Linked DNA regions of Rhinolophus ferrumequinum. The protein of the gene in region 3 interacts with the protein of the main gene of each other region in a pairwise test. Links are inferred from orthologs where the notes say so. Each region holds a gene or a part of one and is shown on either strand. Other genes may lie near its edges.

What was found.
Region 1: the proteins of CWF19L2 (region 3) and MEOX1 interact in binary tests that used the Homo sapiens proteins (3 or more experiments, as listed by UniProt). The two-hybrid records come from large-scale screens. The link is inferred for Rhinolophus ferrumequinum from reciprocal best matches to the Homo sapiens genes CWF19L2 and MEOX1.
Region 2: the proteins of CWF19L2 (region 3) and RINT1 interact in binary tests that used the Homo sapiens proteins (3 or more experiments, as listed by UniProt). The two-hybrid records come from large-scale screens. The link is inferred for Rhinolophus ferrumequinum from reciprocal best matches to the Homo sapiens genes CWF19L2 and RINT1.

What each region holds. Positions count from the first base shown.
Region 1 is NC_046304.1:38,913,207-38,921,209, forward strand, and holds the start of MEOX1 (homeobox protein MOX-1), read right to left. Parts: upstream 3,002-8,003; 5' UTR 2,604-3,001; coding exon 2,135-2,603; intron 1-2,134. UniProt on the Homo sapiens protein: Mesodermal transcription factor that plays a key role in somitogenesis and is specifically required for sclerotome development. Required for maintenance of the sclerotome polarity and formation of the cranio-cervical joints.
Region 2 is NC_046303.1:48,938,037-48,944,940, reverse strand, and holds the start of RINT1 (RAD50-interacting protein 1), read right to left. Parts: upstream 2,964-6,904; 5' UTR 2,881-2,963; coding exon 2,839-2,880; intron 2,382-2,838; coding exon 2,336-2,381; intron 1-2,335. Other genes in the region: serine/threonine-protein kinase MARK2-like, read right to left, coding at 2,964-3,086. UniProt on the Homo sapiens protein: Involved in regulation of membrane traffic between the Golgi and the endoplasmic reticulum (ER); the function is proposed to depend on its association in the NRZ complex which is believed to play a role in SNARE assembly at the ER.
Region 3 is NC_046294.1:76,275,381-76,282,488, forward strand, and holds the start of CWF19L2 (CWF19-like protein 2), read right to left. Parts: upstream 3,003-7,108; 5' UTR 2,973-3,002; coding exon 2,880-2,972; intron 1,284-2,879; coding exon 1,173-1,283; intron 403-1,172; coding exon 283-402; intron 1-282.

The DNA of each region.
Region 1 (8,003 bases), on a different chromosome or scaffold from region 3:
AAGAGTGCAGGGCATTCAGGAGAGGGTGCCCATGTGCTTTTGGGGATGGTCAGCTGCTTGGCATGAGAGCTTACTCCCTAATGCAGTTCCATGGGCCACCGGCCAAAAGGAAAGACACTCATTTGGATCTTGCTGAAACACGGAATGATTTTGCCTAAGCCCAGCCCTTGGCTTTGCCCATGCCTTCCCAGTGCCTTGGCTCCCAGTTCCCAGGAAAGTGGCTGGATGCAGCCAAGGGAGGTGTGGGCAGAGATGGAGCTACGGTGGCCGGCCCACAGAGGGGAGAGCTCTTCAGCCAGGCACAGGACCAAGTTGCTGAGAGCTCCTTGGAGAGAAGAAGCAGAAAGTGCCCGATCATCGGCAAATCTCCAACCAGGGCTGGGAGTAATTCAGGATTTAACCGGTTGACGATTTAAAAGTCCCTTCTATTGAACAGCCAGGAGGGTTGTGGTCATTCCCATCTATTATGAGTGTGTTGAGGGGATTCTTCAAGCATGGAGACCAAATATGTCAAAATGACTATTGTGCTTGAAACCTACTGAAGGGTGTGGGATCTGGGATCTGAAGTTCCGGGTTTGAGCTCACTTCGAGGGTGACCAACTGTCCTGGTTTGTGCGGAGCTGAGGGTTTTCTGGCACACTGGACTTTCAATGCTAAAATCAGAGAAGTCCTGGGCAAACTGAGATGAGTGGTTCACTCTCTTTAGACTCCATCCTAGCAGGGATCCCCTCAAATTTTCCGAATCTCCTTTTCCACACGTGTAAGAACCAAGATACTGGTAAGACTTGCTGTACTTGCCTCGCAAACTGCTGGGACTCAAAAAGAACTAATGAGTGTTGCCCACCGTACCTTGAACCTCCCTGATTATAGCACATCCACTGCCAGACAGGCATCTGCAGACCTCTCTGCCTTCTCAGTTTAAACTCTTTGGGTGGGGGAGGGTCGAGACCATCTTATTCATCTCTGCATCCCCAGTGCTTTGGCCAGTGATTGACAAAGAGAAGATACTTGGGAAATTTGTGCTACATTGAAGGTGCTTTGCAAAGCACCTTCTCATTGGTTGGTTGGCACTCTCATTTTCTGCCTGTGCTGGTTAGCCCCATGAGAAGGTCCTCCGTAGGTACAGATGTTGCCCCAAGGGCGGCTGTCAGGAGGACATAGCGGGCCATGGGGGCAGGAGGCATGGACACTGCCTTGTTTTGGGCAAGGCGGGGCCAAAGAATGATAGGAAAGGTGAATAGGCAGCGAGAGAAGCCGGGGATGCCCCCATGGGGAGAGGAGGAAACAACAGGTTTCTACCACAGGGAGGAGATGGAGTTTAGCTGGGATCTCAACAAGTGGGCCAACCAACTCCATCCTCTGGCCTCTGGGGCTCCAACACCGAGCGGGGTTTTACCTGCATTCTGAGGTCCAGTGCTTGCCCTCAGCTGCCTGCCTTCCTGACTCTCCCCAAGGCCAGTGACCCCTTAGGAGGGCCTTTTCTGGGGGTCAACGAGAACTTAGCATACTGAGCTGCCCCCTTGGCCTGGGCACAGTCCAACTGGGCAGGGTGATACCTTGTGGGCAGTCTGCCCCAAATCTCATACTCCAGCTTCCCTACTCCTTGCCGCTCTCATCCCAGCCCTAGGCCTGCTTCTCTGCCTCCAGTCTCCTGGAGTCATAGGATCTTGGCTCTGCTTGACTGCCCAGGGTGCTAGCCTCAGTCCTAGCCCTCCAAGCCTCTGACTGCCCTGTTGAGCAAACCCTGGGGCTCTGCAGATCATTTGGATCCAGCTGGAGCACGGTGGGGAGAAGCATGACCCAGAGGCTGCTGGGGTTCAGGAAAGCCCTTCTCCAGCCCTTGCCAGCTTGTACTGAGGCTCCATCCCACATATCCTCCAAGTCTCTGTGGATCCTGTTTTATTCTCTTGCTGGCACATCCTTCCTAGGGCCCAGGAGTGCTGGGAACACAGACACAGCCCCCATCACCAGAGGATTCTAGAACTCTGAAGTAGAAGAAATCCCAAAGGTAATTCTTGCCTTTAGATAGTACTGGTCACAATTCATGGGTCAGGGCAATTGAGCTCAGAGAGAGCAAGTGACCTCTCCAAGATTGCACAGTAAAAGAATGGTCAGCTGCTCTTCAGCCACCTACCTGAATTCTCCTTTTTCCGTCTAGTTGACTTCTTCTCTGTCTCGTTGGCAGTGCTTCCAAGGACCTCGTAGTCCTCACCTGGGCCTCCCGTGGCGTCCATCAGGCTTGGGCTGCTGGCCCCCATCTCCCTAGAGCCCCCAGCTGGGCCTGGGTTGAGCCTGCGCCGGGTCTCGGAGACAGGGAAATGCCAGTCAGGGGGCTGTGGGAAGGCAGGGTGCTGCTCAGTGAAGACGCGCTCCTCCTGGGGAAGGCTGTGTGGGGTGGCCGCCAAGCAGGAGGCCGAGAAGTCGGGGTATGCTGCTGTCGCTGTCGCCGGGAAGTCTGGTTTCTGGTGGAAGGAGAATGGGGTTGGCGGGTAGTGGGGTAGCCCTGAGGCCCCACTGCCTTCGGAGTGGGGATTTCGAAGGCAGCCCCAGACAGGAGCTGGGGGGTGGGGGCTCCTCATGCAGCTGCTGGCCACAGGATCCATCTGCCGTCTGCTGCACGCCTCAGTCTTTCAAAGGTTTGATTCTTACACTGTTTATATTCAAATTTTTAAAAATGCAAAAAAAAAAAAAATCAAATAGGAGGGAAAAATGTTCAATAGAAAGTTCACCCCAGGAACCGAGACAAAAACCAAAACTAAAGTCGCTTTTTAAAGTCCGCGCACATGTGTCCAGCTACACGTATATGTATACACACACCTCTGTCGGACTTCACTCCTGGCTTCCTGCTCCCCGACACACCAGCCTGCCTATTGGGGTCCCCTGTACATGTATTTGTTGCCGATGACACTAAACATTTTCACTGTCCCAGCCCAGAAGCACCAGCTGATGGAGTGCTCGTCCTGGAGCCCACAGCAAATGCCTGCAGAGGGCCGGACCAGGGCTGCTGAGACACACTTTTAAATGCTGCGGTGGGGAGAGAGTGACAAATTTCTGAAGTGAAATGTGAGAGAGGAGAGGGAGGGGTTAACCCGCACCCACACGATCCCCTCCAACCAAAACCCGAGCAGGCAACTATTAATCATCGGAAACCTTATATGCACATCTAATGGGATTTGCAGATGGAGACTTTTAAAGAAACATTGTCTGTATTTTTTTTTGAAGGAGAGAGAGCAGCACACACACACACAACTTCTTTAATGTGCCTCCTGTAACACTATGAAGTTATTTTATTGCACTGTTAACAAAATTCCCCAAGTCTTGGATTTGGAAAAAGCCTTAAGTCAGATCCAGAATCCATCAAGTGCCAAATTCCAGGGAGTGAAGCAGGGAATAAGTGCAAGAGACAAGTTTGCTGATTGCATTTGATTTAAAAGCCCTTCTACTGCTGCTTGCAAAAAGGAAGGTGGATTAAAAGAAATCTTTTTTTGCAAGTCTCCGTGGCCCACTAGGGTCTGTGGTATAAAGAAAGACATACTCCAGAAAAAATTTTTTTCTCTCTGCCCAAAGTGACATTCTCACTTTCTCAGTAACTTAAAAAAACAATCAGATTCTTCCTTCCGCTCTTTAACCCCCAACTTAATGCCAATTAGCCACACTCTTCTCTAGAGGGGTTTCAAGTCATTTTTCTCCACGGCAAAGGAAAGCCTCTGTAGGTAAAGTCCTTGAAGTTTCTCCAGGCCTCCCCCACCTGCTCCCTGGCCTCCTAACCTTCACCAACCTGCTTCCCCCTCTCCACTCCCAGAGGCCAAGGCTTCCATGGACTTTGGGGCACAGAAATAGAATCAGGGGTATTCTCATTCCCAAAGGAGTTCTCTTTGGCAAACAGTCACGTGGTCTTCCTAGCTGGTACCTATCACAGGAGGGCCAATTGCCATTTTAACCAGTCAGTCCCTCTACTTCATCCCACGGCCTCGCTGGTCTTTCTGGAGGGTTAATGTAGTTTCTTGGAGGATGACAGTCCCAGCCCACGAGCCCAGAGCTCCTCTCCCACTGAATATTTCCATGATCCAGAGTGGCACGATTGGGGCTGAAATGGGCACGGACCATTCCATCTTTGCTGGCTGGTTTCAAAGGAGGAGGGGTCTTAGCTCTGCAGCCTGGAGGCTGCGTACATGCTCTTCTTGAAACAGGTATTTCATCTTTTGGAATGGGCATTGTAGGGCAGCAGAGGGGATGGAGCCATAGCCACAAACTAGACTCATCTCTTTGCTTTGTCTGGGACTCTGCTGTTGCATACACATTTCTTCTCTGAAGCTCACCACTCCCCCAGTATGGGTAAAGTGAGAATTGAGTTCTACTTTTACAAGCAAGCGAAATGAGGCTCAGACAGATGACATGGGCTGCTCAGAATCACACAGCTAAGAAATGGCAGAACCAGGAATTGTCTTCAGGTGTCTGGAGCAGCTTGGACTGATGCATGGACTTTGGGCTTAAACCTATGTGAGTTTAAATCCTGGGTCTGCCACTTTCTCGCTGTGTGTCTTGGGACAAGAAACCTCACCTCTCTGAGCTTCTCTGTTCCCTCATCTGGGATGATAGTCCATTCATCCACTGATGATAGCGGACATTCATCCACTGATCTTAGCATCTCACATATATTCCCCCAATGGATCCCCACAAAGGCCCTCTGAGGCAATTGTTTCTCTCATCATCTCCATTTTTCAGAAGAGGACTCTGAAGCACAGAGAGACTGTGTAACCTGCACAAGGTCACATAGCTGGGAAATGGAAGATCCAGAATTCAAATCCAGGCAGCCTGGCCCCACTGCATCAGAATGCCTACTGCACAGACATTTGAAATTTTTAAATGAATAATTTATGTGAATTGTGAAGTAGGTAACAGATAAATGAGGCTCGCTTTCTAGCATATCTCATTCTTAACTCAACGATTCCAAAGGGAGACTGTAGGACTGGGGAGCACTGAGAAATTCTACAGAAACAGCCTTGAGAGGTCCCTCGAGACGCTCCAGGTTGTGGGGGCTCTAGAAGGAATCCCTCAGATATTCTGGGAGGAATATCTGGTCTGTCAGCTTCTCTAGGTAAACCTTCCTGGGGCCTGGCCCCGGCAGGCTGTAACCAGATTCCTGCTCTGCCTTCACATCTGGTCCAGGGACCCCATCCCAGGGAGACCCAGCCGCCTGGCCCTTTGCCCCTAGAAGGGGTGGGCCCTGGGTCATGGTGGAGTGGGTGGAGAGGTCAGGAGGGGCAGCAGGGAGGGGGCGTAGCAGGGGTACTCTGTGCAGGGCCCTGGCACCCCGGCGCCCACACAGCTGCCGGTGTCTGTCAGCTACCCTGCAGGGCGCGGCTGGGGGCCCTGCTGGCCTCTACATCTTCCTGACAGGCCCCTCTTCTGAGGCCAGGAAAAAACAACAGCGGTTCCTCCCCTCTCGGCAACCCATTTGTTAGATGAAGGCCGGGCACCAGCACCTTTAACCTCCTCAAAGTCAGCATTTCCCTGTCAAGGCCCCACAGGCCCACGAGACAGAGATGGATGGAAGTGGCTGTTTGTGGAAAAAAGGCTCAACCCTGAGGCTGGGCGGCCAAGAAGAGCAGGGTTTTCAGGAAGGGAGGGGCTCCCGTTTCTGGTTGTTGTTGGGGGTGGTAGGGGGAGGAAAAGGAAAAGCGTGCGTTAGGGGGAGGGTTCTTGAGGGCCCCTGAGGAGGGCCACACCTGAGCCATCCCAAAGAACTTTTGGAATTTCCCCCATTACGCATGACAAACAGGCGTGTCCTTGGCACTACAGACCCACTTCTGTGCTTGGCCACCCCACCCATTTGTGCGGGGACTTGCAGGGTGCCTGAGGGAGAACCTGGGGCCTTTAGGCAGAAGACTTGAATTCAAGTCTTCTCTCTTGCCTTTCCTCAGCTGTGGGGTCTCAGGCAAGTTACACCCCTTTCCTGAGCGTCGGTTTTCTCACTGGCAAAATGAAGATGACAGTACCAGCCTCCTGTGGCTGTTCTGAGGATAAATGAACTGATGTCTGTGAAAAGAGCTGGCTGACTATAAAGGGTGATACATGTGGAGAATTATTATGCCTTCTCTTTCTTTATTCTGCTGGACCACAGGGCATGTCACATCTCAGTGGAGGATGAAGATGGCCCATCCAAGCCCCCCAATACCTTTTCCTATGGCAACATAACAGAAGGTCAAGATCATGGCCTTGGGAACCAGGAGGGCATGGGTTCCAATCCTACCTTTGCCACTAGTAAGTTGAATGGCCTTGAGCAACTCACTTGATCACTTGAGCCTCAGTTTTCTCATTTGTAAAACGGGAGTAAGCTTTTTCTTCTTTCCCCATTAGGTTGCTGAGAGAAGTGAGTGAGGTGAAGTAGGAAAGCTCTCACCAAAATCTGGTACACAGTTTTCAGTGGTAATAGCTGGATGACGATGATGAAGAAAATACCTGAGATTTTCTCCTTAAGGACAACTCCAGAAGGTCCTGTGAAATACTGAACATGTGAACTGGACAAGACACCTGTTACTGAGCAAGACCTCAGGGGATGGAAACAGGAGACAGACAAGCGTTGAATATGGTGGAACTCACACTGGATTAGGATATTTACCCCTGGGCCTGGCATTTATTTGGACTGTGTATGTCGTTTGCTCCTCAGAAAGCTTTACGGCAGCAGGGTCATACTACCCCATAGGACTTTGTGAGGCTCAAATAATAGGATGGACAGGACAGGGTTGAGTAAACCACAGAATGCAGGCCTCAGGACTATTGCAGGTGCCCCTGTGAAGCCTGCAAGGTGGGGCCAAGACATTCCGCCCTAGGGAACCAATAATGTGGTCTTTTCTTAAATCCCAGAAAACACTGAGTTAATGAGAGTTTCCTCAGTCGAATGTTTTCTCTCATGAATATATTTTTTAAACATTTGGTGCTAGTCATACCTTGTCTGTTACTAAGATTCTGGGCAGATGACTGAAAAACCCAATACATAGAGGGGCCTGCATCAGAACCCTGGCTCTTGGAGGTCACGTGACCTCGTGTTCCTCAACTGCAAAGTGGAGGCTTGCTGTGTAGACCACATACATACACTCAGGAGGTGCTCAGCAAACATGCCCTTTCTAGGGCTTCTGTGCCTGAAGGAGTTAGAGGTGTGTTGAACTAAAGGAAAGGCTCTAAGTAAGGGCAACCAGATAAAATACAGGGAGCCCGGTTAAATATGTTCCATGCGATACTGGTGACGTATGCTAAAAAGTTATTTGTTGTTTGTCTGAAATTCAAATTTAGCTGGGTGTCTTTTTTTGCCCCCCTAAGTCTGGAAACCTTAATCTAAGACCAAAGTCATCCTGATGAAGAAGGCTCAGGCCTTACCTTCTCAGCCAGGATATTTGCACTTTGACAGAAGGTTCTGGAAGGAAACTCTAAAGGAAGCATTCCAGCAGGGTGTGTGGTAGTTGGGTAGGTTTGCCTTTGGCTGTGGGCCTTCTGGTTGCAGGAGGAGCCCAGGGTCCCCCAGGAAGGTCTCCCATGGAGGCCTTTTGAGTGAGACAAAGCAGAAGGGAAGAGGAAAGAGGGAGGAAGGGCATCAAGGTGGAGAGAGTGAGGACAAAGGTGAGTGCCCCTGGGCAGGAAGTGCTGAAAGAGAGAAGGAGTGAGGCCACCAGTGCTGGCTGGGCAGGGCGCCAGCCTGGGAGACTCCTGGTCACCCACTTCCCGGGGCGCACTTTTGCAGCCCTTGCTTGCAAGGCAGCAGTGCCATTATTTGGGGGAAAACCAGCTAACCAGATAGGACAGCAAACTGGGGATTTATGTGGTGTGGGAACAGCTCGGGTTTCCCTCACTGTTTATCCAGCAGTATTTTTTAAAACAGAAATCAGCGCGCGGGTAACCACAGCTGTGAGTTACTGGCTCTGGCTGTAAGGGCTGTGAGGGTGGGGGGGGGGTCTCCCCCACAGTGTTTTGCTCTGTATCAGCTTGGAAATTGCTGAAGGAATGCA
Region 2 (6,904 bases), on a different chromosome or scaffold from region 3:
TAACCACAGGTTTCAACAGATATTTGCATGACAGTGCAGTTACAAATAGATATTAAACATTTCCAGGAGACCTTATATGTTAAGAATCTATTTTATTACTGGGAAAACAAGGACAAATCTGATTTTATTGGTATGGTTTTAATATATGGTCTAATATATTTCCAAAATCTGTAAGGAACCAGATGGTATGGTCTAAATAACAACAAAGGAGGACTCTGACTTCAAGGTGTCAAGAAAAAAAAATAGTATTAAAAAATTTCAAGCATAGGAAAAAATTTTGAAATGAGTAAAAACTCCTCCTTCTATAAGAGCAAAAAAGTGTTAAAAGCTTCAAATGCCATTGTATGAAGATGTCCATGTCAGAAACAGAAAAAAAAATTTTAAAGGAAATGAGAGAAAACACAAATTACTAGGAAAAATTCAAAACGACTAAGGCATGCACTAAATTGTACAGTCTTAAGTGAGAATCTTTCCATGGCAAATAAACTAGACTTGGATTAATTCACATTGGACTTCTTAAATGTGACAAAAACAGGTGATTTGGAACCCTGAAACCATTTCTTGGAGAAGAATAGCAGCAGAGGCAACATTTACTAGCTTTGGATAGTTTTGTCTCATCCCATTTAGTATGTGATATTTTCCAGAGTCCACTCCTTATAATAATTTTTCCATTTTTATCTAAACAAAACACTCAAAAAAACAAATTTCTAGTAAACACATAATCCACTTGAAAGGCAATTAAATTATTTTCCACTGTCCTAGATTTGTGGACCAACAGCACTGCTCCTTTTTCCGAGTCTCTCCAGGTATACCTTTGCTGACTATGCCATGTTGGCTTTCTGACTCTCAATCCAATATTATTCTCTTCTTCAAATATGAGCAGAATTAGCTGGTCCACATCAGACTTTACTAATACAGAAAACCATTTATGGTCATGTACAGGAATTACAATGTCTTCTCTTTTTTTATCTTAAACAACTGAGTTACGTGGTACATCTGCAGACACTACGTGCCTGCAGAGGCAGGGCTACGTGCAAAGGGACTATTTTGTGAATGCTAAGGGAGTAAATTCTATCTTCACTTTTTAAAATATTATACTCTTTTTATATAACCAATTAAATGCAGCATAGTACATTCTTAGTCAAATTAGGTTCTTCAAAATAACACGCTAGTGGTTTGGAGGTTTTATGTCTCTCCTATTCTCTACTTTTTGTACCGAGCATTACTATAAATTGCAAAGAAGTGGCCCTAGCCAAAGGAGGGACAAGGGCAAAGTCTATAGTCTGCATCGATCATTTTACAAACATGAGAGCTCAATAGGCACTAACTTCCCAGACATGAATGGGGCAAAGGTGGAAAAGGGAAGGGTTTAACTGAAAGACATGGGGTACTCTCAAATCCTCTAAGGAAAAGGAGCTGAGTTGTGGCAGCTATGATTGTCAAGGGCTATGGACTACTAAAGGCTTTCTGTCTGATGCAGATTACATCAGTAGACAATGTTAAGGACAAGCCTAGCTCTTAAAGCCAACACGGTAACATGGGCACCTTTTTCTCTTACCACTACTCATTCCCAGACTATTTCTGCCCTGGTCAGAAGAACCAAAAACCCTCTGATGGAATAGCTGTTACATCCTTTTTGCTTCCTCCCCCAATAAATTCTACTTCAAAAGCCCCTGATGATTCCTTGATTTCCAAAAGCCTGCCACGCTGAGCTCATTAAAGTAAAACGACAAATGTCCACATCCCTGACATATGCTCCTGTCCAAGGTAGGAAATGGAGGTACCTTTTCCCTCTTCCTTGTCCAGTCCAAGATCCAGGAACCAAGTTATCCATTGTTTTCTTTCCAGATCAATTTTTAAGTGCAAATTCACTGGTCAATTACAGCTAAACAATGATCTAAACTTCTTGAATGAGCTAAACTTCTTTGAACACAATTAAAGTGGCAGGCATGTCTCCTAGATCATTAGCCCCTCCAAATTCCTGATGCTTAAAAAGTTGATGCTGCATTAAAATATTAATAACAGGCAGGCCCCAATTATTTTGAATTAGTCTGATGGGCAGAACTCCCGTGAAACCACTCAGTCTCTGCACGAGATAGGAGTCAGGAAGTGCTCTTCTCTAAATCATCCCATATTTTAGAATTTTAGAAAGACAAAAAAATGTGTATAACGATAATCAGTATTTAATACTATGCAAGCATACTATGCAGGAAAAATAAATACTTCATCTAAAACATAACAGGGTAAGACCCTTCTCGGTTGCAGACACTGGAAGGCAGAGTTTGGAGAGCTGGCTGGGTAGACAGACAGTGCTAAGGTGTTTGAAGTCGCTTACTTTTCTCCTTGAAGTTCTTCCTTTCATCATCACTTTCAGAGCAGCACTAGAAGAAGAGGTGTAACAAACACATTAAGACTTAAGTAGCAAACGAACTCATGCAAGAGAACATACACTGGAGGACCACGAGGACCCAGACCCCTTCCCCCGGGGTCGCTGGCCGGAGCCGGGCCCATTCCTGAGCGACCGGGGCTGTTTGATGCAGGTTCCAAAAGGGCCACCACCGCCACCTCCCCAGGACCGTTGGCGTTACCTTGCCTAGCCGCCAGGGTCACCTCCCCAGAGACAAGTGTCATCTCACCGGGATCGCCACAGCCACCTCTCTGGGACTACCTCCCCTGGGAGGTCTGTGCCACCTCACCAGGGTTGCAAGAGCCATCTCTCTCGGGTCACGAGAAACACGTCCTCAACCCGGCCGCCACGGAAACAATCCCCTCTGGGAGATCTGTGCCACCTCACTGGCCCACCAGTGTCCCCTCCCCAGGCCATCAGGGCCGCCTCACCGGGGTTGCGGGCGCCTCGCCGATCTGGCCGGACCCCAGCATCGCGCCTCCGGGTAAATCCTCGGCTCCAGGAGCAGCCAGCGTGGCGCGTGGAGCCCGGCTCCGGCCAGCTACCAGACACCAACTCAGTCTCGCGGACTGCAGGGCGGAGCGCCACCGCAACTTCCTTTCCCCGTCTCTTTGGTTTCTTCCTCTTCTCCCAGAGAGGCCCTGTCGTCGCAGCCGCCGGCCGTGCGCGGTGGCGCCCCCTGCCGGCAGGGGCCGGGAAGGCCGCTTAGGAATTGGGCGCAGCCCCGGAGGCTCTCGGGTGAAAGGGGGCGGTCCTTCCCAGCCCCTGTAAAACCTCCTCCAGCTCCCTGGGGCCGTTAATGATGGAGCTTGAAGATATCCCTCCCTCCACACCATAAATTCAGTATGAATCATTTCAATTTATATTTTAGATGATATTCCAGATGAAGGTGTAAGGGTGGGCTTGTTGACTATCTTTAATGTAATTTGGTTGGGCTGTTTAGTTGGAGAACTTCCAATGTCATTATTTTTGCATCTTTCCTTTCAGGCTGATCAGATTCAACTAGAGATAACCCTCCAATGTCCTGTCTGGAGGATGCAGATCTGGTTATAAACTTTCTGGGAGCTGAATAGAGGAAAAGGATTCAGCATTTAATATGCACTTTACCCAGTGCCAATACCCTACCATACCTGCTCTTTGCTGGGTAGGAGGAATAGGAGATACCTGATAGCAAGAGATAGGTAGAGGACTCTTGGATTTGACTTCAAAACAAACATGGAAGGTGGTGGTGCCACAGAGACATAAATAAGGGTGGGGGCCAGAGCAGCAACTCTTAGAGGAAACAGAAACCATTCAGTGAGGAGAAAACGTTTTTAAAAATTATATGGGGGCAGCTGGATGGCTCAGTTGGTTAGAGCACGAGCTCTGAACAACATGGTTGCCGGTTTGATTCCCACATGGGCCAGTGAGCTGCACCCTCCACAACTAGATTGAAGAAAACGAGCTGCCACTGAGCTTCTAAGGGTTGGCCAGATGGCTAAGTTGGTTAGAATGCAAGCTCTAAACAACAAGGTTGCCGGTTCAATTCCCACATGGGATGGTGGGCTGTGCCCCCTGCAACTAAAGATTGAAACCGGCAACTGAATGTGGAGTTGAGCTGTGCCCTCCACAACTAGACTGAAGGACAACGACTTGGAGCTGATGGGCCCTTGCGAAACACATTGTTCCCCAATATTCCCAATAAAAAGAAAATTATATATATAATCAGTATCCTGAGATATCAGATACCATTGCAACCATAATATAACAGAATATATATATATATATATATATATACATATATACATATATATATATATATGATAGCAGAAATGAAAAGTTCAGTAAAAGTTGGAAGATAAATGTCGGGAAATATTCTAGGGGAAAAACAAACAAAAGAACAAAGAAATGAAAAATACAAAAGAAAAATAATAAATTAGAGGACCACTCCAGGGGACCCAAAATCTGAAAAATAAGAGTTCAGGAAAAAAAAAAAAAAAACCAACAGGGGTTAGGGAAGGCATGATCATCAATAAAACAAGAAAATTTTTCCAAACTAAAAATCATGAGTTGCCACATTAAAAGAGCCCACTGACTGCCCAGCACATGGATAAAAATTGACTGACCCCAAGGCTCATCATTGTGAAACTGCAGAGTACTGGGGGCAAAAAGATAACCCCTAAGCTTTGGGAGAGAAAACAAAGGCTCAAGACTCAGCATATCTTTCCATTTCTCAACAGTTACAGAGAAAGCTAGAAGACATGGGAATAATTCTATCAAATTTCAAAAGGAAATTTATTTCAAACTGAAAATTTAGCTTTACTAGTAAACTACCAATCAAATGTGGGTAAAAAATAAAGGTGCGTTCAGACATTCAAGGTCTCAAAACATTTCCCTTCTCCTTTCCCAGGAAGCTACTGGAGGTTCTGCTCCACTAATATGAAGGACTAAACAAAGAAAAAAGAAGACATAGGACATATTAAACAGAAGATACGACACAGGAGAAAATGAAGTAATGCCTGGACAACACTGTGCACTCGACAGACTGACACAGGTCAGAAGGTATCAGGAGAAACTCCTTGAGAAAGATGAAACTGATAGAACACCTTATCTATCTAAATCTCTGGAGGAACAGATTTTTTTTTTCCACAGGACTTTACTGGGGAACAGCGTGTACTTCCAGGATTTTTTCCAAGTCAAGTTGTTGTCCTTTCAATCTTAGTTGTGGAGGATGCCGTTTAGCTTCAAGTTGTTGTCCTTTCAGTCTTAGTTGTGGAGGGCGCAGCTCAGCTCCAGGTCCATTTGCCGTTGTTAGTTGCAGGGGGCACAGCCCACCATCCCTTGCCGGAGTCAAACCGGCAACCTGTGGTTGACAGGATGCGCTCCAACCAACTGAGCCAACTGAGCCATCTGACCATCTGGTTGCTCAGCGGCAGCTCAATCTTTAGTTCAATCTTTAGTTGCAGGGGGCGCTGCCCACCATCCCTTGTGGGACTCGAGGAATCCAACAGGCAACCTTGTGGTTGAGAGTCTGCGCTCCAACCAACTGAGCCACGGAGCGGCCCTATATCTTTTAATTGGAGCATTTAATCCTTTTACACTTAAAGCGATTATTGGTAGGTACATAGTTATTGCCATTTTGTTATTTGTATTTCTGGTCTTTATTAATTAGATTATTTTCATCTTTCTTCTGTTTACGGAAGCCCTTTTTAACATTTCCTGCACTGCTGGATTGGTGGTAATGAATTCCTTTAGCTTATTCTTTTCTGGGCAGCTCTTTATCTCTCCTTCAATTTTAAATGATAGAGAGCAGGGAATTACAAAATCTTAATATCACAGAGTCTTTGTACTAGAAGGGACTAGCCTGGAGGCCTTTCATGATACAAGCCTGAAATCCATCTGCTTCTGGTTTCCTCCTAGGGATCCTGCTTCCATCTTTTGAAAATATTTGAAGGTCAAAATGAAAATATCTGCTGCGCTCCTGGTGCCTCAGTTTAGTGTCAACATTTCACAGTCTCCCCATCCTGAGAACCATCCCTACTCTCTTCCAAGAGTCATTCATTTCCACATGAGTCAGGAGGCACAAGGAGAAGACCGGAGGCTGACAACTCTAGGTAGACTCTTCTTGCAGCTGCCTCTCTGTATGTTTTTATTGTTACTTTCACATGTGCAAAACAACGTAGTGGTTAGACATTTACACACACCTCACAAAGTGATCACCCCACCAAGTCTACTACCCCCCTGACATTGTACAAAGCTATTACAATACCACTGATTCTATTCCCTATACCGTACATTCTGTGACTATATAGCTTTTTAACTTATAGTTGAAATTCAATGACATTTACTATTATTTTATATCAGTTTCAGGTGTACAGGGTAGTGATTAGGCATTTATATGATTTATGAAGTGATGCTCCTCGTAAGTGTAGTACCTACCTGGCACTATACAGAGTTTTTACAACATTATTGATTATATTCCCCATACTGTATTTCATATCCCCATGACTATTTTGTAACTACCAATTTGTAAATATTTTCTAATCCCCTCACCTTTTTCACTCATCCCCCCAACCCTTCTCCCATCTAGCAACCATCAGTTTGTTATCTGTAACTATGAGTCTGTTTTCTGTTTTCTGTATCTATGAGTCTATTTCTGTCTTGTTTGTTGATTTATTCTGTTCTTTAAATTCTACATGTAAGTAAGATCATTTGGTATTTGTCTTTCTCAGCCTGACTTATTTCACTTAGTATAATACCCTCTAGGTCCATCTATTTTGTTGCAAATGGTAAGATTTCATTCTTTTTTATTGCAGAGTAATACTCTATTGTATAAATGTATCACAATTTCCTTATCCAGTTCGCATATTGGTGGGCATTTCGGTTGTTTCCATATCTTGGCTATTGTGAATAGCGGTGCAGTAAACATAAGGGTGCATATATCTTTTTGAATCAGTGTTTTGAATTTCTTTGCATAAATACCCAGGAGTGGAACTTCTGGGTCATAAGGTAGTTCTA
Region 3 (7,108 bases):
TTCCTGTCTGGCTCCTCAGTGTTGGTGTTTATCTTTCTTTTCAGTTTCCTGAGGCAATTCACTTATTCTAATAAGCAATGATTCCCAAATTTCGTCTCCATCTTCTTACCTTTCTCTGTAACCTAAGATTCTTATTTCCAATATTTCCTTGACATCTCCAAGTAAATGTCTCCCAAGCTTTTTCATATCCTAACTGGTAATATTTTTTAAGTTCTCATACACTATTTCTTTAAATAAAATTTTCTCAAGTAGGTGCTTTGATTAGTTTTAGTACATACGTACTGATGAACTATCAGTTGACTCGTTTTTTTCATGCTTCTGTTTCTTATTCTTTTTTTTCTTCTCTTTCTTTACTTTTTTTGAACGCTTGTCTTTTTTCTTCTTTTTCTTCATAGAGTTTTCCTATAAATAATCATTTTGAAGAGGTAAGAATTACCTTCTTCAAAACTAAGAAAGGAATTTAGTTTTATCTTACTTTAAAAGGAAATATGTTAAGAGAAAAAAAATCTGTTCCAAAAATATTTAATTTTTTTATGAATTAAGACAAGAAATATGACTACATGAACAAAATCTTCTAAGAAAACTTAACATGCTTCTATAATACACGCACTACTAATAAATCATAGAGCTGAGATATCTTATCCAAAAATATGAGGGAAGTTTTCATTTATTTGTAGATTCACTTGACAAACAGATATAATCAAATAAAAACATATATACACAAACTTATGTGTGTATGCATTTATATGTATATATCTTCTATGGCCCCAAAAGAATTTATAGAAGATTATTGGGACATTTAAAATATAACAAGATAGCATAAATTAAAATTACGGAAAGAGAAAACAAGAATTGAGACAAGAAGAAAAACGAAAAACCCACATGACATTAAGCTTGAAACGCATACATTTTTAGACCCATAAGCTTACAAGTGGGCCAGAAACTCTACCAGCCAACTCAAGTAACAAAATCTACCCAAAGTCACAATATCCAAAATATTAAAATATATTATTTCTGCCAAAGAGATAAAACTATTCTGTAATGCCCACTATGTGATATTCATTCTGTAACTTGAAAACCGTCTATAAAGTTGCTCCTCCAAGATTAACTTGCAAGATTAAATGCAGAAACAGTCCGACGTGTTTACATCAAGTAGACCTGACAGTATTCACCTGTGAGAATTGTTCAATCCGCTCATTCACATCAGGTAACATCCATGTATCCTCACCTCGAAGTCGTTTAAGTTCTTTACGTCTTTCTTCCTTTTCAAAATTAGCTTTAGCCTAAAATATTGAAAAAAGAAAAATTAACAATTGATCCAACTGCGTTTCACAAAAAAGTAAAACAAAATCTCCCACTTTCATACATGTTCTCATGAATCAACAGTCTGTCTCTTACCAGTAATTTTTTCCTACGCTTCTACCAAAGTGTAGGAAAGATTTTCAAAAATACAAAAAAACAAACAAAAGACCCTCTCCTTGCCCATTACGAATCTCTAGTGAATAGAGCCACCAATCAAGGACAGAATCTTGGGACCTATTCTAGACCCTCCCCTTTCCTTAAGATTCCAATCTCAAGTATGACTTGAAACTCTTTTCCCTTCACCATCCCAGTGCTACCGCCTGAGACATTTTTAATTGTTAGGAGAATGACCACCATACCCCATACATTCCATCAGCAATGCCCATAACTCTCTACTCACTCCCCAAAAATGCTTCAGGAAAAATCATCTTTCTAAAAACAAAATGATCATATTGCGAATTTTTATTCATCCTTCAACAATATTCAAATAAAGTTCTTCCTAAAAGGTTGTTCCTGCTTTTTCATTCTCTTCCCAAACTCGAAAGCTGGGCTTGGTCCTTCTCAAACTCTATGCTTATCTCTATTATAAAATTTATCACAGCTTACAAAACCTACTGCCTCCAAACACTGCCTGAAATATCAGAGAGACAAAAATAAAAAATATTTGTTACACATATGTTTCATATGCTGAAATCAAAAAACAATACTGACCTTTCACCTGTCTAAGATTAATCACCCACTCGCTCTTCCCCTTTAAAATCTGGCTGTAGTCATTACATCTTCTCCTTCCTGTCTCCTTTACCTGCTACTTCCCATCTGCATTTAAACTCGTTTAAACTCTTCCATCTTAAAACAAATAAAAACAAAAACTCTCACTTACACTTTATGATGCTCTCTGCTTCATTTTTCCCTTCATTGCCACACTTCCTACATTTTGTCAGATAATTCCATAGTTTACTTCCTCCATTCTTTATAAGTTACCTCTCTGCATCTCAATCTTAATGAGAAATAGTTTGTCAGTCTTTTTCAAGGGGTGCAATTTCCTGGGTCTGTTGTGTCAACCCTTGTTTGGGTCGGTAAGGGTTTACAATAAGCCAGGAACTGATACCCATAGTACAAAAGGAGAATGAAACGGTCAAACGCAATTTACTCCAATGCGCCTTACATGTGTTCCTGAAAACGAACATTTTCATTTCACAAACAGCAGGAGTAAGGGCTGGGGCTGGGACATACGCTGGGGAGACTCATTAGTTGCGTAGTCCCTCGAAAGTGCGCAGCCCAGGTGATAGAAATGTCAACGCATTATGTAAAAAGTTAATGAAACTCAGAGGAAAGAAACAGGTCTTCCTGAAAAGAAAATGAGCAATTGGAGCCTGCCAGAGCATCTAAGAGGGAGAAGATACTCAAAAATTTGCAGGCATCCCACAGGGAGACCGCCCCCCCCGTTTCGACCCAGATAAGGTGAGATACTGATGGAGAGAGAAGAAAAGGGGTAGGGAGGAAGGAGAGCCAGAGGCCTAGCTCCCAGGAAACAGCCACAATTCTAAATGGTTCCCAAAACCCCAAAACGGAGTTACCTGGCGCAACACCTCGGCCCTGGCTATCCGTGTCTGCTCTTTACGCTCTTGGATACTCCTCTCACTTTCAAACCGACCACTGGCAGCCGCCATAGTTGTTGATGTCGTAAAAGTAGGAAACCATCACGAAGTCTTAGTTTACGACTGTCGTAATTAATAAACAAACCGGACTTCCGACTAGGGAGAGAACCGGCGCAGTTCCACCAAGAGAGCATGCGCGGATCTGGTTCCTGTGGTTACTCCAACGCCAGGTTTTAGAGACTTGAAGATTAAAGTGAGGAGTTGTCCTTCTTCGTATATTGGGATCGCCCTGAGCAGGATTAATGTCGCTATACATTTATTATGCGCTTTGCACGATAATAGCATTCTCAGCTATTTCCTCTTAAAATCCCCGGAGTAAGTTAGAAGCTCATACAGGTTAAGTTCGTACATCTCAAAAGTTTTCCACCAAAGGGCCCTTCTAACCAAAGAATTTCCCTGTGCTGGAGGAATGAACTGACGGGAGGCTGGCCGGAAAGGTAGTCGGAAGGGCAAAATTGCTTTGAAGATTCGGTGGTTTGCTTTGGTGGATTTTTTTTCCCAGTATATGAAACAGTCATGTGAGTGTTGTACTGTACTCCATAATTTATCGGTACTTATTTAAGCTGTTAATAAATGTTACATTTTTATTTAATCTCGTATTATTTGCTCAGATCCATCCAATCATTTTTCATGACAGTGTGCAATTACCTATTTGTGTGATTTTTATTGTTTTATGTTTGTATCTTCCAAACTTTAAGTTCCATGAAGACATTCTGAAGTACTGTTCAAGGGTTTTGAGAATACAACACACTGAATTCACACTTATAATCAAAGATAAAGAAGGCCGGAGAGTAAATATAAACTAGATACCTTAAAGACATTAAAAATAGTATAAACCAGATTAAATAAATATGCTTTCTTTCCAGGTTTTGTAAACTTAAATTTGTGTTTGCACGAAGCTTTCCCAGGAGTTTCTGCTTTACCAATCTGTAAAAATCTTGACCTTGAGCATGTAATGTTTACTTGTTTGATATGTAAAATAGAATATACACATTGTATTTTTGTTACAGAAAAGTGAATTTTAATTTACAAATTGACCTTGAAATATTTAACCCCTTAATTATACCTTGACTGATTTTTTTTATTACTAACTAAAATAACATTAAAAGTCTTTTCAGATTCTTTTGGGGAAAAACGTCTCCCCCACCCCACATCAATTATGTGGCAAATAAGAACAAATAGTATTTATAGTAGAAACATGCAAAATTATGACAAAAACTTTTAAATCCTACTTGAGGCACAAAAGAAGACTAGAACAAATGAAAAGGTATATCATGTGCTTCAAGAAGGCTCAACATCATAAAACAGATGTCCATAAGTGAATTTGTAAATACAGGGCAAGACCAATAAAACGACCAACAAAAAAAATGTTGGGATCAGGAAGGGGAAGTAGATAGGTTGATATAGAAAAACAAGGGAAAAGGAAGTTGTTTTGATTAGTTTGCATTTGGCCACATCTGATACTAGACATCCATGATTTAATTAAACAAGGGAAAATGTAGTACAGAGCATGAAGCTATGGTGAAATTGCTGAAGAAATCAGGTTGTTTCTCCTTTTCTGCTTTGTAACACTTAATCTGTGACTTAAGTTCTTCACAATCACAAGGAATGCATTGCATTCCTCCATATCTATGCATAGCATCTATAAGATGTAAGAATAAAAGGGTAGAACAAAGGGCAAAAAGTGTATGCCAGCTTAGTCTACCCCTTTTTAAGAAAATTTATGACTTTTCCTAAAGCCTAGTCCAGTTTCTTCCATTTAAATCTTGTGAACCAGAAATAGGTCACGTGAACACAACTCACTATAAAAGAGTCATGAAGATTCCAGGACAGATGTTATAGAATGACACTCAACGTGGGTTTGCCTGAGGTTTCTTTGTGGTTGGACTCAGGTTAGGCATTTCGAGCAGAACTATTAAGAAGTGTGACTATTCTCATTGCGTCCTATCAAGTAACACACAATTTCCATTTGTTCCATTTCCAGTGATGCTAACTCTGAACATTTCAATAAAGTGTTGTCTGCCAAACTTCACTGCAAAGTTACTCCTTTTCCCTTTGTAATTAACAAGTATTTTGGGGGTCAGTTCTTAAAGCTATGCAAATTCCTCATCAAACTTTCAAATTATTCATTTTATATCAGTCTGGACTCATGATTTGTTTTATTCAATAGATTCATATTTTTATTCGGAGGGATAATACATTAACAATATTTATTTTCTCAAATTGTCCCAGATTTGACTGTGCTTTATTTAAATTTCCTTAGCCTTTTTTACCTAATGTCCTTTTCCTGTTCCAGTATCCCACCCAGTTAATCACATTACACTTAGTCATCATCTCTCCTTAGGCTCCTCAGGCCTTCGACAGTTGCTCAAACTTTTCTTGTTTTGATGACCTTTGCAATTTTAAGGATGATTGGTCAGGTATTTTTGTAGAATGCACCTGAGTTAGGATTTTTCTCATGATTATCATTGAGGATGTTAATCTTGATTACCTGGCTGAGGTCGTACTTGTCAGGTTTCTGCACTGTAAAGTTGCTCTTTTTTTCCCTCCCTTTCCATACTGTAGTCTTTGGAAGAAAGTCACTATGTGACTCTAACATGTAAGGAGTAGGGGTTTATGTTGCACCTTCTTCAGCATGGAGTATCTACATCAATTATTTCAAATTTTTCTGCATAGGAAATTTGTCTCTTATCCCCCATTTATTTAGTTATGCAATTATTTATTTATCAATATGGACTCGTGGATATTTATTTTACACTTTTGGTTAAAATCCAATGCTATTTTATTTTCTTATTCAAATTGTTCCACCTCTGGCCATTGGGAGCTCTTTCGGTTGGCCCTCATCATTATAGGGTTTAATTTTGTTTTAGCACTTCCTTACTGTCTGGCGTGACAAGATGCTCCAGACACATCTTGTGTATTTCCTGTCTCAGTTCTAGAATCAATCATTTCTCCAAAAAGCTCTGGTGCCTTTTCTTGGAGAATGGTATTAGAAACTAAGATACGCAAACTGTGCTCAGTGCTACTGGAGTGTTATTCCTTCTAGGCCCCTTAACTGACAAAGATGAATATGTTTATATTCCAACCCATGTGTGTACACATTTCTGTTTGACCGTCTGTATCTATACTAAGATACATGAGTTCATACTGATATTACCCATTCTATTGCCACATAGATCATTCTAGCCTCCTCTTGCCTATCTGTAAATTCCCATTCCAGCAATGAGAAACCAGGCTCCCACAGTCCTCCATCCGTTTAATTATTCAGCTCAAGTTTATCAATTAAATTACAGTGCTTATATATAGTTTTATTTTAGTCTTACAGACTTCACTCATTTCCAAAATTACTTATGTCAGCACCTTTTCCCCCACCCCCTTCAATGAAGTTGTTTCCTACATTTGAAACACATTCTTTTGTGTTGTTCTGCATTTCATTCTTGAATCCCCACACCTCCTATAGAATTTTTTTAAATGTTGCAAACATTAAGGTTCACTTTGGTGCTGTATACTTCTATAGGTTTTGACAAATGCCAATGTTGTGTATCCACCAGTAGAATATCACAACAAATAGTTTCACCACCCTGAAATATCCCATGTTTCACCTATTCAACCTTCCTACTTTCCCTCAAACAATTGGCCATCACTGCTCTTTTTACTGTTTCCGTAGTTTTACTTTTTCTAGAATGTCATATAATTGGGATCATACAGTATGTAGCCTTTATAGACTGGCTTCTTTTACTGAGCAATATGAATTTAAGGTTCATCCATGTGTTTCTGTGTCTTGATAGCTTTTTTTTCAATCACTGAATAGCATTCCACTGTATGGATGTACCATCATTTATCTATCCAGTCACCTATTAAAAGACATCTTGGTTGCTTACAGTTTGGGGTAGTTATAAATAAATCTACAACGAGGTCAGAAAACTAAGTTTGCAAACTCATCCTAGAAAAAGTGCTGCATACCTCATTGCTGAATATCACTACTGTCACCTTCTAAGTACTCCCCTTGGGAAGCTATGCACTAACACCAGTGCCTAGTCCACCCTTCAAAGCAATTTTGGAACTCTTTCTCTGGAATGGCCATCAGAGCTGTGGCTGTAACACACTTGATGTCCTGAATGTCATCAAAATATCTTCCTTTCAACATT